3 linked regions of the Arabidopsis thaliana genome follow. The protein of the gene in region 3 interacts with the protein of the main gene of each other region in a pairwise test. Each region holds a gene or a part of one and is shown on either strand. Other genes may lie near its edges.

Evidence for each region. Proteins that work in one complex are often made in the same cells at the same time.
Region 1: the proteins of SK42 (region 3) and AT5G27370 interact in a protein complementation assay, tested with the Arabidopsis thaliana proteins (one large-scale study listed by BioGRID).
Region 2: the proteins of SK42 (region 3) and AT4G03600 interact in a protein complementation assay, tested with the Arabidopsis thaliana proteins (one large-scale study listed by BioGRID).

The regions. Positions count from the first base shown.
Region 1 is NC_003076.8:9,664,711-9,668,386, reverse strand, and holds AT5G27370 (inactive Serine/Threonine-kinase, putative (DUF679)), read right to left. Parts: upstream 1,077-3,676; coding exon 501-1,076; downstream 1-500. Other genes in the region: GSH2 (glutathione synthetase 2), read left to right, coding at 53-176. UniProt on the Arabidopsis thaliana protein: Involved in membrane remodeling.
Region 2 is NC_003075.7:1,603,138-1,607,120, forward strand, and holds AT4G03600 (pyrroline-5-carboxylate reductase), read right to left. Parts: upstream 1,492-3,983; 5' UTR 1,172-1,491; coding exon 683-1,171; 3' UTR 501-682; downstream 1-500. Other genes in the region: AT4G03610 (Metallo-hydrolase/oxidoreductase superfamily protein), read left to right, coding at 1,902-2,068, 2,353-2,494, 2,598-2,728, 2,826-2,967, 3,056-3,161, 3,260-3,324, 3,405-3,440, 3,535-3,644 and 1 more; AT4G03620 (myosin heavy chain-like protein), read right to left, coding at 3,903-3,983.
Region 3 is NC_003070.9:21,429,918-21,438,610, forward strand, and holds SK42 (shaggy-like kinase 42), read right to left. Parts: upstream 6,187-8,693; 5' UTR 5,960-6,186; coding exon of another isoform or gene 5,920-5,959; exon of another isoform or gene 5,596-5,919; coding exon of another isoform or gene 5,510-5,595; exon of another isoform or gene 5,453-5,509; 5' UTR 5,336-5,452; intron 5,056-5,335; exon of another isoform or gene 5,052-5,055; 5' UTR 4,961-5,051; coding exon 4,820-4,960; intron 4,692-4,819; coding exon 4,599-4,691; intron 4,514-4,598; coding exon 4,454-4,513; intron 4,380-4,453; coding exon 4,107-4,379; intron 3,736-4,106; coding exon 3,661-3,735; intron 3,091-3,660; coding exon 3,034-3,090; intron 2,955-3,033; coding exon 2,814-2,954; intron 2,723-2,813; coding exon 2,672-2,722; intron 2,490-2,671; coding exon 2,394-2,489; intron 1,927-2,393; coding exon 1,843-1,926; intron 1,729-1,842; coding exon 1,626-1,728; intron 1,530-1,625; coding exon 1,445-1,529; coding exon of another isoform or gene 1,441-1,444; exon of another isoform or gene 1,294-1,440; coding exon 1,221-1,293; 3' UTR 1,134-1,220; downstream 1-1,133. Other genes in the region: AT1G57860 (Translation protein SH3-like family protein), read right to left, coding at 117-374, 674-910; AT1G57906 (F-box protein), read left to right, coding at 5,510-5,595, 5,920-5,959, 6,333-6,893; PUP17 (purine permease 17), read right to left, coding at 7,685-8,693. UniProt on the Arabidopsis thaliana protein: May mediate extracellular signals to regulate transcription in differentiating cells.

The sequences.
Region 1 (3,676 bases), on a different chromosome or scaffold from region 3:
TAATTCTCAACTTAATTTTGTGCCATAATCTTTGATTAAATGAAATATGTAGGAGCAAAGACGAAGTTATAGTAAACGAGCAGAGTGGTTATCTAATGCGCACGAAGATCGCATCATCAGATGAAGGCGGCGTTGCAGCTGGTTTTGGAGTCTTGGACAGCATATATCTGATTTGAGATGGATAACATTCACAACCATCTTGATCAGTTTTTCTTCTGGTTTATTCCTTCTTCTTCTCTTCTTGCTTGTTAAAGATTTGTGTATTAATCATGAAGATCAATAAGACTAGGCAAAGCTCTTTACAATTCTTTCCACAGGACCGCAAAGCCTACATTGCTTATTGTTATTTTTAGACCGTGTGAGATGATTACTCGTTTATAAAGATCATGAATTGAATAAGATAAGATCAATCATGGAATTTGGGGTATAAAGATTATTACCATAGCAACATATTTAGACCATAGGCACATATATGTACATACACAAATAAATGTTATGAATCAACGAATGTCTGAAATTCCGATGCCTCTCCGTTTTGAGGGAAAGATAGCAAAGAAGAAGCTTGCCATTGTCAACACCATAACAGCAAAGTACTTGATCATAAGTACAAAATGACCACCCCAACTGTTTTCATCGTCCTCCGGGAGCAAACACCTCCGAAAATCCGAGCTCTCTACGGCTAACGCTAAGAACACGATAACCGACACGAAAGCATGCACGAAATCTACAAAACTGAGCTTATATCTCTCTCTCTTATCAGCCGTTAAGCCGGACTCTGGATCATAACCTTCGTCTGGATAGTCGTTGAGGATGTGGAGACCGTTAGAGGTGGCAATTCCGTAGTAAATGCGGCCATCTTGGCCTACATATGAGTCGGTGAAGGAGGAGAAGAAGCAAGCCGCGGCGCAAAAGGAGATGAGAGTAATGGTGAGGAGTTTATTGACGGGTTTGTTGTTGCACTCGCCGCCATTGGAGAAAGACGGTAGTAGGGTTTCGAATATGAGGGCGGTCCCGGTCGGCAATAGGTTGGCGAAGTTTCCGGCAGACGGTAGCGATCTAATGAACGACGCCTCCATTTCGTAATTTGATCGGAAGTGAGGAAAGTTTGTATGTTATGTGGAGAAAGAGTGTTTTGTATGTTCTTCTATACGTAATGCATGCATGCGTGAGGATATGTTTGATGCGTCTTTATATACATTTCTTAAAGATGTCGAGTTTTATTTGGTGTCCGAATATGTAATATATATTTAGTTTTGTTACTATATATTTCCACATTTTGTCAAAAGAAAATAAAGAACTATAGATATACACATTTGGATAACCCTTTTTTGTTAGAAGTTAGTTTATATATTGGAACTTAGTTTGTGGTTTATAACTTTGGCTAGTCGTTAATGAAATTATGGTGCATCAAGATATTAAGTGGAGGTACGCTCTTATTTCGTGTTTAGATCTTAAAGTGTCAAAATACTTTTATGAAAGTGCTATTTTTTACAAAATTCGATTCGTTATTTTTGCATGGCCATAAACAAGTTGGGACACGATTTTTTTACGTGTTCACACACACATGCATTATTTGATTAATCAAATCTGCCAGGGAAAGAAAAAACAAATCTTAGGAAAAAAAAAACATAATATTTGAGCTAAAACGTAAATAATTGGAGATGTGCATGTTCTATGAAATTGAGTCCATTAAGCGATATCTTGCACGGTTGTACCTAACTCATTTTGGTGACTCGGTCTTACAAAAATACGTCAATTTTTATAACACAAAATACATGTAACGTCTAATGGTCTTTCATTTAAAATATATATCTTGTATTCTTGTTTTATATAAATAATATGACGAAATGAAAATATGTATGAAAATGTAAGATGTTACTAACCTTGCACACATAAAGATCGAACCGTTTCTCATTAAGCGAACCGTAAAATTTTCATCTGATGAAATTTCATGAAGATCCTTTACAAAAAAAAAAAAAAAAAAATCCAGTTGCGAGATGCATCTATACTATTAATTGGAAATCATTGAAAATAAACAACCTTATGAAGGGTAAAATATTACATAGAATGCCATTGATTGTTAGTGTTTTTAAATAAATTTATTAAGAATACAATAGTAATCACAAAATTAATATATTTAAATATAAAAATTGGTAATATTCTTTTAAGTAATTATTAGTTTCCCAAAATTAAACTCACTTTCTCTTTCCTATTAATTATAGACGAAAAAATAAAATATATTTCTTAAAATTTGTTAACCAATAAAAATTGAAAAACTTAGATTTGATATCAAATTATACAATATTATTAAACTAACATTTTGGAAGTTAAGTTTTATTTTAAAATTTTAAAAAATCATAAGACTTGCTTGATATCATGAATAAAAAAATCATAATTTGTGATAGATAAATAAATTCAATTTAGAATTTTGGGTTAAGTATTTTGAAATATAAAACGAAAATTTATTTTAAAATTTTTAAAAACGAGATAAGATGTTACAAATATTAATATTTACTATGAATTAAACTAAAATAATTAATTTAAAATAATTATCATTATGCCTTACATTTAGAAATATCTAAACAATAAATTTTACATACTAATTTTGAAATATTTTGGATTTTCTTTTTTCTATTTTTCAACCGGATCTTTTTTCAAATAAATCTATAATATATTAGTGCACAAACTTTTGAAATAATATAAACTAATTATACATTTTTCATTCAGAACAAATTATCCAGCAAAATAAATTGCTTTTGTAGGGGTATTTCAAAATTTTAATTATATTCCAAAAATCCAATTAATTATGATTAAACAAGGGAAAGAAGAATATTAAACATGTAGGTAAGGAAATAAACATTATTACATTTGTTAAAATATAAATTTTTACAAAATTATTTGTTATAATGCTATTCATATTTTTGAATTTGAAAAAAAATCAAGAAAGAGTATTTTTGTGTTTTAATTTATGATATATTTGTAAACTTTAACATCCTATATGTTAATCCGCAAAACTCAGTCATATATAACATGATATTTAAAGGTAAGCAAATAAGAATTTTGGAACGTATTTTCAATGGAATGAAATGAAAATAGGAATTATGAGACACAAACGACATGAAAAGAAACGGAAGCACTATATAAAGAAATTTGAAACCAAACTGGACATCAAATTAAATATCCAACTGGTATGAGTTTGGGTTATGAGCACTATATAAAATAAATTAACCCTGCATGTACGTATTTTGTGACACAAATTCTATTTGTGATGGGCGTTGGTAGTATTTTTATTTCACATATACAGACGGGTTATGGAACGAAGAATTTATGATAGATACATCACATTATGGGTTTTCCGTTCCAAGAAATATACGTCAAATATACGTTTTAATTTTCTAAACTAATCAAAACATTATAACAGTTTGATTACTGGTGTAAAATAGGATATAAATTTGGTTTTAGTTTGGGTTATTTCCCCGTGTGAGTCCAGATTTTAAAATATAATTATACACGAACACAATTGAATTTTGGTTGTTATTCTTACCTTTATAATATCTATACTATTACAAAGTTTACTTATAACAAAATATTATATATATTTTAAAAATCTATTACTTTTTTTCATATTTTGCACGTATATGCGAGTTCTGATATCTAATACATTATACTATAATAT
Region 2 (3,983 bases), on a different chromosome or scaffold from region 3:
ACAATATATGTTCCAAAGACAAAAAGATTCACGCATTTTCATGATTTTAGAGTTCTTAGAATTTTTTGTTATAAAAGGTTTGCAGACATTAATTTTTTTCCCCAAATTAGAGTTTTTAGTTGAGGTATTAGAATTCTTTTTATCAAGAAAGGTACTTATAAAAATAAGTATCAGTGTGTGAAATCCACTACTTCAATGTTGGAATGTTACACCTTCCTCAAGAAGGAATTTGAGTAAGAAAGAAGTTGTGTAACCCATTATTATATGATCTTATCTTCGCAAAACATGCCTCTTCAACTAGTTGATGTAGTTTTAAGCTACTAAAATAATAACCGGGTAACTTAAATAGTGAAAACTGATAACAAACTTAATAGGATATGTAAATCACTTGGTTATTGGTCCATGTGTTGAAATTGTGTGGCAATGAACCCACAAACGGATAACAAATCATGATTTTCAATATCTCAAATGAGAAGTTGTGGGACGATCCATTCTAGATACTAAATGCTGTCATCAAGAAAAATTATCTAACCACAAACAAAAAAAATTGAGCCAATGCATCATGAACTTCTTCATTCTACTACTAACAATTGATTTTCTAAATTAACTTTACATTTACATTCGGGAGTGACTCAAGATAATCTAGATCAAAATTCCCTAAATAATCTAAAAATCAAGAACCTTAATATGAGTCAAAATCTCTTCTAATAAGCAGAAAATAAGCTAAAACAGCACAAAAAGCAGCAACAACATTGCCTTCTTTCAAAAGAACCTTAAACACAAATCCGACAACTTCTCTCGTAATCTTCCTTCCTTCAACCACTAAAACTCTTCTTGATTTCCCAAAGAAGGCAAGCAACACCACCACCGATATCCAAATCACCATCACCGCCGGAACCGCCACCGTCATAGCAGCCACCATCGACATAGCTCCAAACATCGCACCGAGCACCACCGACGCGTATACCGCCGGTAATCTTGAAGGAGAATAATCTGAATTTGATGACGTGTATTGAAGCTTGTACCAGTTAAGAACTGATCTCAGGAGGTTCCATGAAGAAGATACGAGAATTGCGTAGACAGCGATGAAGAGACAAACCCATGTCCGTCTTTTACTCATGATTGTGATGAAGATATGATACGATCTTGGAGATTCTGTTTGATCTGCCATTAGAGATTGGAAGTTCTTGCTTATCGATCGAATCTGTTTTGAGATTTGTCTGCGACTGAGCAAAATAAAATAGAGCAGTTTATGAGAATCCTTACACTCAGTCGTAGCGCGTGTCGTGTACGCTTCTTTGTGAATTTGTTTTTGAGCTGGCAATCGCGTGGTTATGGTTCACACGCGCTTTAATATATTTTTTTTTGTGAAATATGAAAAACATTTGGTCGAATTTGTGAGATAATGAAATGGTAATTGGAAAGATTGTGACTGCATTGTTTTTAATAATTAAGTAAATTTAAATTCTGTGGAAGTATATTTAATCAATAAACTGGAAAAACAAAAGAAAAGATTTCGTTACCATAACGATTTAAATTTAAGATTTTGTTATACAGAAAAAGAAATGTAGAAGATTTTTTTCTAATTTAGAGGAGTCAAACAATGATATATAACAAAAAAAATCACAATCCGGTGGATTTGTGGGGTAAGTCATTAATCTTTTACTATTTTGTTTGGAAAAATTAGTAGTCAATATCATTATGACTACATATATCAGTGTCAAAGACTCAAAGTAATGGCTTAGATATTTTATGTTAATAAAAGGAATATATATACTGTGAAAAAGACAAGTTTGTGTAAGGGATCGCATATAATCTCAACTAATACAATAAACAAAGATATAGCCGTTGGCATTAATCAGCTTTGGCTAGACCAACCAGAAGATCAGAATCTTGAGAAGATGGAGAAGAATCAATCTGATGATGATGGAACGGCTCTGATCTTTCTTGGAACAGGCTGCTCCGGTGCAGTTCCCGATTTCAGATGCTTACTCCAGCCGTCAGATCCTCCTTGCCATGTCTGTTCTCAGTCCCTCTCTTTACTTCCTCACCTTAACCCTAACTACAGGTAAATCTTGTCATCAGTTTCTTCTCTTTGGGTTTTGGTCTTTGAAGCTGTGGAGATTTGTGAAATGTCAAATCTTGTTGCTTTCCGTAAAGACCCTTTTGAAGTTGGGAGTTTTGATTGAAAAAAGAGACATCTACTGTTGTCTATATTCGTGTTGGAGTTTAGGTTTTAATCCATTTTAGGTAAAAATGAACCATCCGATTTCTAGTGTTCTTGGGAAATTATTTCAGATATATTAGGGTTTGGTGAACATTCTTGAATCTTGATTCTCTGTTTTTTGGCAGATGCAATACATCGCTCTTGATTGATTATTGCAGCAAGGAAGAAGATGGTAGACATAAGTACATACTTATTGATGTTGGCAAGAGTTTTAGAGAGCAAGTCCTTCGTTGGTTTACCTTTTATAAGATTCCTCGAGTCGATTCCGTTAAGCCCTTTATATACTTATCTTCTTGATCTCTTGCATCTATTTTTTTCTCTGAAATGAAATCTAACTTTTACTGACTAATGCTTGTATGATTTTGTGTAGATCATTCTAACTCATGAGCACGCAGATGCGGTTCATGGCTTAGATGAAATTCGATCTCTTCAACCTCGTGGTGCAACTATTGTTGATACCGATCCACTTCCCGTCTTTCTATCTCAATTTACAATGGAGAGGTACCATCTTCGATTAGTGTTCTCTATCTCAACTCTGGCTTAAAGCTTTTCAAATTAGCATTTGATGAGACTTTTAAGGCAACAAAAAATTGTGCAGTATTGCTACAAGGTTTCCTTATTTGGTTGAAAAGAAGGTAAAAGAAGTACCTAGACGAGTTTCACTTCTTGACTGGAAAAACATCGAAGAGAATTGTGACGAACCATTCGCTGCCTCGGGCTTATCTTTCACGCCTCTTCCGGTTAAATTTCTTTTCACTTTTGAGAAATCAAAACAGTCTAATTCTTCCATGAGACCTTATAGACTCAACAATGTTAGTTATGCTTTAGGTGATGCATGGAGAGGACTACATTGCTTTAGGTTTCCTCTTCGGCGATAAAAGTAAAGTGGCTTATATATCAGACGTATCACGGATTCCACCGAGTACCGAGTATGGTAAGAGCTCATTATGTTATGCCCTAATCATTATACCTCTGTAGTTCACTTCTACTAAAGAGAAAGATTGATATTCTTATGAATCTTTGATTAAGCAGCTATTTCCAAAGCTGGGGCTGGACAGTTAGATCTTCTTATCCTGGATACAAATATACCGTGGAAGGTTCACATCATCTCATAACTTTTGTTTACCGCTTTTTCGATCTTGATAACCTTTCTTGCTGACCATCTCTTTGATAATAGAGAGGACCACATCCCACACACATCTGTTTTACAGAGGTTTGTTTCAATGGTTCTCTTTTTTTTCTTCCCAAAGAATGCTTCACTTCTCTAAACCTTTTTGAGAGTAAGTTTCAATATTCCTATTCTTTAGGCTCTTGAGATCTTAAAGAGGCTATGTCCAAAGAGAGCGCTTTTAACGGGTATGACACACGAGTTTGATCACCATGAATACAATGAGATACTTGCAGAATGGTCTCTAAGGTATGCAATGAAACAATGTTATAAGATTTCTATAAATCAACATCGTTGAATGCTAATAGAGACTATGTTGATTTCTAGGGAAGGAATCCATGTACAGCTTGCTCATGACGGATTACGGCTTCCAATAGACCTATGAGCAAATTACTAAAGACAAATCTTAGAATTCTTGTTACCTATCAAGAATACAAATGACAAAAATTTCCAAAATTATATGAGTAGAATCTATATTTTGATACAGTAATGAAAATCTCTGTTTCTTTACTTGTTCTGGGAATGATTCAAAATCTTTAAACCAAGCCCTTGAAACAACTTCTCTAAATTTGAAATCTCATTCTCAAT
Region 3 (8,693 bases):
CCTAACAAAATCTGAACTCATATCGTATATAAATCAGTCTTGTTTGATACAAAAACATAATTAAAAAAGCAAGTGCAAAAATTCTGAGTAGAGAATGATAATAAAATGGAAACAACTCAATAACCACCCTTGAGATCGTTGACAACATCGTAAGGAATGGGAGTGACAGTCTCCAATGTCATACCTTCAACCATGAAACCCGGTTTAGGACCTTTAGGCTGTCTCTTGGTGCTGATAGTCTCACCTCTGGCTTTAGCATCAGCCTTAAGCACATCGTTCTGTTTCTTTCTGAGTTTAAACTCCTCAGCACACCTTGACTGTTGCACATGCTCCACACGCACATGTATCCTCTTCCTTATGATTCTGTTCCCAATCTAAAACCCAACCCAACACACCAACTTAGCTCTCCAACAGATTACACTAATCATAAACACAAGAAATGAAAAGAGAAGCTTTCACAACATCAAAACATATAATAATAGTAAACGAACGACCCAATAAGAAAAGCTTGAAACTTTCGAGCCAACACTAATCCAACATCTCAGAATTCAAAACAGATAGCTCACAGAAAGACGAATTAAACCCCAAATGAAAGAATCAAAATCAATTTCAAACCCTAATTTCAACAACAAAAAACTCTTTCAAACAGATTAAAAGTTTTGAGTAATCAAACCTGTTTGTTGACTTCAACACCAACGGCACGTTTAGTGACATTCCAGATGCGACCAGTACGACCATGGTAGAACTTATGAGGCATACCCTTGTGGATAGCTCCATTAACCTTGACATCGACGTAATCGCCGACCTTGAAGGTTCTGAGGTAAGTGGAGAGTGGAATATAACCCTTCTTCCTGAATGGTCTCGCGAACAGATCTCTTGTTCTCGCCCTCACTCCGTGTCCCGCCGGCATTTTTCCTCCTCTCTCACTTCTGTCTCTGACGAAACCCTAAAAATGGGAGAGAGAGGTGAAACTAGTTTAAAAGGCTTTTTGTGTACATGGTCTTATTGGGCCTTCAATATTTAAGCCTTATTTTGTAAAACAAATGCCTTATTTGAAATTAACTCGAAGATAAATTGGTTTGGTGTAATTCGAGTAATATGGTTCAAATCAAGTTCGTAAACATGGACAAATAAACTAAACTGTCAATTCATTTTAAGGTTCACAAATTTTTTGGAAAATTGTGTTGTGGCAGGAGTCTTGCAAATGTAAGTATGTTCCTCTATATCATATATCTAACAAAGTAGTGTTGTATTTTACGCATCCTCACTTCACGACAAGGGATGCGCAAGCACCTTAATACAAAAGTCATTGCTTCTTTTTCCAGTGATTTCTGTTTACAGAGAGAGAGCTCTACTGGTTTTTCCCAAAGACTGGGATCTAGAGAGCTTAGAGAAAAGAAGAGAACACCCGATAGGTCGTACAGAAAACACGGAAGAGACTTACGAGTGTAATGCCATGAAGTGGTTCTGCTTACGGGCATGTTCTGGGACAAGTCGGTCCACAGTTTCAGGAGGGATACCAGAGAGTTCTGTAGGACACACGCTTATCAATAACACATACTAATTTTCTTCCCTTATAAAGAATTTAACACGGAAAAAAGAAGAAGCAAATAACAGAACCTTACCTTGTGGTTTAAAATTGAATAGCGGAGGAAGTGGCCGGCCGTTTGGCAGACGAGCATTTGGGTCTCTTAGCTCATCAAAGAAAGGGTGGATACAAGCTTCCACCTATCAGAAAATCATAAGACATACTTATAATGGGTTAGCTTCTGATGCTGATCCCAAAAAAAATATGGAAGTAGAATATGTAACAAAGTCAGAGAAAAGCTATGAATAATTTACCGCTGTACATCTCAAATTAGGAGAATACTGGAAGAACCTACAAAGAAGATCTACTGCTTCAGGTGGCAGACGTTTCTGGAATACCTGAAAGTAACAAACACATGATTCTTGTGCTGTAAGAACATGACTATATAGAAGTAAAACCAAGGAAATGATCACTTAAGAGAAATTTTAGCACGGAGCAAAACAAAAGATAAGAATAACGAGTAACAGAGTTCTGGAATGTCAGCTGTATAAAATGCTGAATAAAACTTCATCTAGATAGAAACTTAAACCAGCAAAAAAGCCAAGATCATGAAGCCTAACTGTTTTCAACCCCCACGAGTGTGTGCATGAGTAATTCCTTTTGGCAAAGGTTCAATTTATTTGTTTGTATAAGAATCTTATATACAAAGGCAAAGCTGTCACATCGCTCTATATGCCAGAGGAATGAAATATGAAGTTAATTGATCACATATACTTCAATCAACCTCACTAAACCGAGACAAGCTTGGTCATATATCGATTAAGAGAACCCTATTAGGTGATAATTGATACTACTAGCGGTATACCTTGTGCCAAGGATGAGGTTTTATCTGAGGAAATTTAAATTCTGTGTAGTTTGGATTCATGCATTTGATCTCCTCCCTTGTTGGTGTACCCAAAACCTGCATGACAATTAAAAAACCATGAAGAGAGAATGTACGAGTCCTACTACAAAAATGGTGGTAAAGTTTTATAAAAAAAATATAATCAGCAGTGAGAAACTATTAGTCAGTGCCAGCTCTAAAGATGTCATTTTCTTTGTAAATACAACTAACCCTAAAAGAATTGATAGCAAAAATACTACCTTTATGATTTCAACAAGTTGATCGACTCCACTTTCGCCAGGAAACAGAGGCTGTAAAACAAGTCCGCGAGAGCAAAAATGAGTAAGAGGGTGAAGAAATAGAATAACAAGCATATAGCTAATGCAAATATAGTGCTCCAACCTGTCCAAGCAGCAGTTCAGCCATCACACAACCTGTGGACCATATGTCTATTGCAGTTGTGTACTCGGTGGCTCCAAAAATGAGCTCTGGGGCACGATAGTATCTTGAACAAATGTAAGAAATATTGGGTTCTCCTTTCACCTGTGGACCATGACACGTCATAATCTAAGCATGGACTAGGAAAACTAAACCACTAAGAGCTATAGCTGATAAACTTTACCAACACTTTTGCACTCCCAAAATCACAAATTTTCAGCTGATGTGTGTGTGGATTCACCTGCACATCACAATAGGTGTAAAGAAAAAAATAAAAGATTGTTTAATAAAAACAAGGCAACATTTGTTTATGACAAATTCTAGTCAATTGCAGGTATGGTGAGCCTAACAGCTGAAACAGTATGGAACAAGTTCAATCCTTGTGAAATCACAAGAAAATAGGATTCTAAATATTTAAACCAACGAACAGACCAGCTAAAAACCAAAACTATTTTCCGAAAAGTTAGATTTTAACATCCTACTTGAACAAATAGCAAGTGAAATTAACTACAGAACAGAAGCCCAGTACCACTCTGAGGTTGAAATAAACATTAGCGAGATGCATACATAACCTCATTGCTTAATCCCACCAGGCATGTAATAACGAAATATCATCATGTCATTACTATATAATGATCAAATTTGTAGAATTAAAGAACACTGTCTGATATTTATGTACACAAATGCCTTTAAAATCCTTATGTGTGGTGACAAAGACCTTGCTATATAAAAAAAATTCAAACAAAAGTAGCTTACAGGAAAGTGAAATCTATCATCAACTTCTTTTCAGTGAGAAAAAATTGGAACTTACTAGCAGGTTTTGGGGCTTTATATCACGGTGACAAAGACCACAGCAATTATGAAGGTAAGCAAGCCCCCTGCAAATCTGTAGCCATTAACATAAAATCCTCAAAAATCATTGGAGAATGTCCAACAAATTATCAGGCCCGATTCACACTTAAGTGTTCAACAAACGTTTGAGCACTACTTCTTTTATATAGAGACAATCAATTATGTTCAATAGTTCCAACTTCTAACGGAAAAGTACAATAGTATCAGAAATGATAGGAACTTTGCCTTCTGGTTTACAATCTATCTAGCAAAACAAGAGGAAATCTCCAACATCCATTATGGAATGAACCACAAGAAACCAGCTGACACATATCAAGAAACTGAATATAGCTTAAATTTTGAGTGATTACTTATGACGCTTACATAAAGAGAAACAAAAAAAGATCAGAAACAGGAAATAATCACCTGGTAAGTGTAGAGTTTGACATATATCAATGGCATCAGCTGGTTCATTCTACTGTAGCTTCTGGCAGTACGATTGACAGTCTCGGGAACAAACTCAAGGACAAGATTTAGATAAACCTCTTCATTTTCTGTTCTTGAATAGAAGCTATGCTTTAAACAAACAACATTCGGATGGTCTAGCATCTGCATAATTTGTAATTCTCTGTTCTTGTAACGCTTGTCTTGTAGAACTTTTTTGATGGCAACAACCTCCCCAGTTTCTCTGCATTTAGCCTACCACAAGGAGACATAAAATGTTTGGGAATCTTAACCAATGGTAAAACAACAAGATAGACAATCTTACTCACTTGGAAAACCATTCCGAATGAACCAGTCCCGACTACGTGTTCTGCTATGTAACTGACTGTCTGTCAATCAAAATTAAAAACAGTTGTATAAGAATCAGTACGTCTCACTAACAATCTAGACACACAGTTTCTATGACCATCTAACCTGTCTTGATTGACCATTTCGTCCAGGGAGTGTAGTTGTGATCACATGGCCAGGTTCTGCACCAACTCCATCAATGATATCTGGTTCACTGTCCTGCAACATGGCAAAAACATCAAATTCAAGTAAACTACTTCATCAAATAGAGGGGCGCATGAGAAGGAAGATAAGCTAAAGAAGTTCACAAAGAAATAAAGACCTAAGAAAGGAGATGCAAAACTTACTCTCTCCTCATCAGCCTCTGTCTTGTCCCTTATCTTCATCTCAAGCATATCTCTGCTCAACCAATCAACTGAACTAGAAGTGTTCTTTGTATTTTTGGCAGATCTCGAACTGCCTACTCCATTTCCCAGATGAGATTCCATGGTGGTGGTTGTTCGGAAGATAACACGTACTAGTAATTGATAACACCATAAACCTTAGCAATTTGGTGTCCCATCCCATCAAAACACCAATCTTCCTAGTAGAATATTAAAATCGTTTTCATAAAGCAAAAACAGTATAAGCAATTACCAGAGTATATACCCACAGAATTTAGATCGTTGGAACATGCTAACAGAATACCAAAGTCACTGGTTTTTCCAAATATATTCAAAACAAAATATCTTAACACTTAAAGCAGATTTAAGAGAAAAGAGAAACATGCAAACTCACTTTCAGAAGTGACATAAAGTTAGCAAATCGACCATCCTATCACCTTCTCAGAATATATTCTACAAACCAAACATAACGCATAATACCTATATATTCATAGAACCACCGAGCACATTCTTATAGCTTGAACATCCACAAGCACTATGAGATAGAAATAACTGAGTGGTGTGGTCTCTAGCTGCTTATGTTCCCTTGATCAATCACTACAAAGAAGAAATATGGTGAATTGAAATGAAAGAGGAAACATATTAGCAGAAAATATGAACCATTTCTATGTGAACAATGAAATTAACAAGAGAATAATTGAGAAAACAAAAGAATCAAATCAGCTACCTAATTTTCTGAGGTCACAATAATTTCTTCCGAAGTTAATTATGATCAGATAGAAACACAGAAAAGTCAACAACTTGGTATTAAAATTTCATTGAAACTTTGAAATAGTGGGTGATAACACAACACTGATACTACTACAGAAGACTAGAATTGAAACCCAGAAGAAATTACGACAAAACCAGATCTAAATTCCACTAAAAGGGACAAAGCTTGTCCTTAAACTCAGTTTCTACAATTACAAAAAAAACCAGAAAAATCAGTAAAGCAGTTGTTACTGCAAGAACCTTAACTTCCTCCAAAATTACACAATTCAACCAATTCGAAGCGCTATCTTCAGGCTTGAAGCCGAAGATGATCGATTTACCTTGAACGGAAAAGTAAAAATCACGCATTTGATGATCTTCTTCTTTTTCTTCAATTTATACAAAATCGAGCTCAATTTTTCTGACGAGCGATCACCAATGGAGAGAAACTGATCAGTAGAGATTTTCTCTGTGGTTTTCTTTTGTAGATTTCTTACTCTTTTGAATCAGGAGAGTTTTTCAGAGATTTTCATTTTCTTTTGTAACATCTACTTTATTTAAATTCGTAAAAGGGAAATACAAACAATTAATTAACCAACCAATCAGAGATTTATAAAAGAATTAAAATATATATTTATTTTAAAATAAAATAAAAAAATTAATTGATAAGCTAAACCAAATCACATCTATTGTTAAACCGAAATGGTCCATTGCTTTTGGGTTTAAGAAAGTTGTTCTTGCGGGAGGAGATCGAGTTTTTGGAATAGGGTTTGATGGGAAGATTAGGTTTTGGAATGGAGAGATTTGGACTAGAATCAAAGATCAGATTGGTGAATTCTCTGATATTATTGTTCTCAAAGAGCTAATTTACGTGTTGGATACGAAAGGCATTGTTTGGTGGATTAGTATCGTTAGGTATGGAACTTCACTTACTAATGAATGTGGTGGAGACTTAAGCTTGGTTGCATGTTGTGGAGAGCTTTATATTGTTGATCGTCTTTTTAAAGAGAATGTCTTGAAAAGAAAAGCTGATTACTTGGACTTGGATGATAATGTTTATGTTGGTGTAGCTCCTCGGATTTCTAATGTGATACATGACGATTTTGGGAATGAAAAATGCAATGTGGACCAAGAGGTGGAAATAGAATGTCCCAAAATGGTTGGTTTCAATGTTTATAAGGTTGATGAGGAATTAGGGAAGTGGGTTGAAGTTAAGTCCTTGAGAGATAGTGCGGTTGTGATGGCGACTGATACTTGTTTCTCGGTTATGGCTCATGAGTACTATTGATGCGTACCGAATTCTATATACTTTGTCCATGAAAAGGAAGTAGAGGTTAAGGTGTTTAAGCTAGACGATGGTAGTACTTTGATGATGTTTGGTTCTGAGCAGAGTTGTTTCCAAATGTTTGTTCCTAGGTTTCTCTGAATCTTGTTTAGGCTAGAGCTACTTTCTTTATATTAAGGATATTGGAGGAGTGACAAGAAATGTGATAACATTATCTCTATCTCATACCATACTTTACCATTTCCGTTAAGCTCTATCGAAAACCTTTCTTCTCCAGCTAGTAATATGAAGAGTGCCACTTCTGTAACCGAAATGTGCATGGCCTATTGGTATATTTCTGGCTTTCATCGACGTAATAAACCACTTGCAGAGGAATGATCACCCATGGAAGATATACAAAACAAATAAGCATATAAAAGACTTCTTCTCATCAGCCTCTGGATTTGAGTTGCTTGGGGAAGACGTTTACGTTGCATTCTATATAGGAAAGGTACGAGCCTAAAGGCATAAGAGCTTGGTGCAGCTTATATCATCAAGTGGGATGTGGCTTTATTGGTGTCTCGATGCCCCATAGATGTTAACAATCAAGTCTACTTGAGAAATATATAGGGATTCACTCCTCTAGCAAAGTATTGTAACAAATAAATGCAAAACAGAGAAAAGAAAAAAATCAAACTAAACCAACTAATAAATAAATTACATAGTTTGATCCATATCTATACAACATATTTTGGACATTGACTTACAAGAATCAGAATAACAAGAACAGATTGACAAACACTTGACATGAGAAACTAAACTTCAACATTGTTCTCACTTTGGTTAAGTTCCGCCATCTTCTTCTTGTTTCTCTTGTGCAGAGTGTAGAAGTAAGATCCTAACGCCAAAACTGTTCCTATCAAAGCACCAATTCTAGGCCAACTAAACACATCATCCATAAAATCAAATGCCAAGACAACAAACAAAGCCACAAATGGTGAAGCACACATATGAACAACATCACCAAAAAGACCCGAAACATAATGCACCAAACCTATCATCCCGACCGCCCAAACCTGCCACGACAAAGCCAACCCGACCAAACTCAGAACGTAATACGTTTCCCCTTTCTTAAACCTCTTGCTATCGCCTTTCAGTTCCTTATACTCGTCACTCGCAAACAAGCCCACGAGACAAACAACCGAGGCGACAAAAGCGACACATATTTGCATCTCTAAGACCATTCTAAACACTTTCTCGTTACCATATCTCTTGGTCTTCACTTGGAGTTTCTCGAACCCGAGTTGGATTAAGCAAAGAGATAATGAGAAAGCAATTGTAGCAGAGAAAGCTAACCAAGCTTGGATGTTGTATCCGAATTCTTCGCCGTCATGAGGCTGTCCTCCAAAGTCAGGAGTACCGAGAACGTAAATCACAATAGTGAGTAATATCGATATGATGATCCATCTAGTAAACTTGAAACGGTTAATGATGGCTGTTAAAACAGCGGTAAATATCAACTGTGTTGTGGAAATCAATGAGAAGATGCCATAGTTTGAGACTAATTTCCCGAGTGCGAACAATTTGCTGTGAGCAGCAACAAGAACACCAAGAGATAAGTAAAGGAAGAAGAGACGCAAGGAGAGGAAACTAGTATTGTTGGTTTCAAGGTGTTGTTTTGGTTTAGGGAAAATGAAAAAGAGAGGGATGAGAATAGGAAACGCAGCGTTTTGGATCAGAGCTTGCGTCCATGTTCCTTTATATTGTAGATCTTGGTCATACTCTTCTCGACGGTCTTGCTTCATTTGGACATAGAAGAAGTTC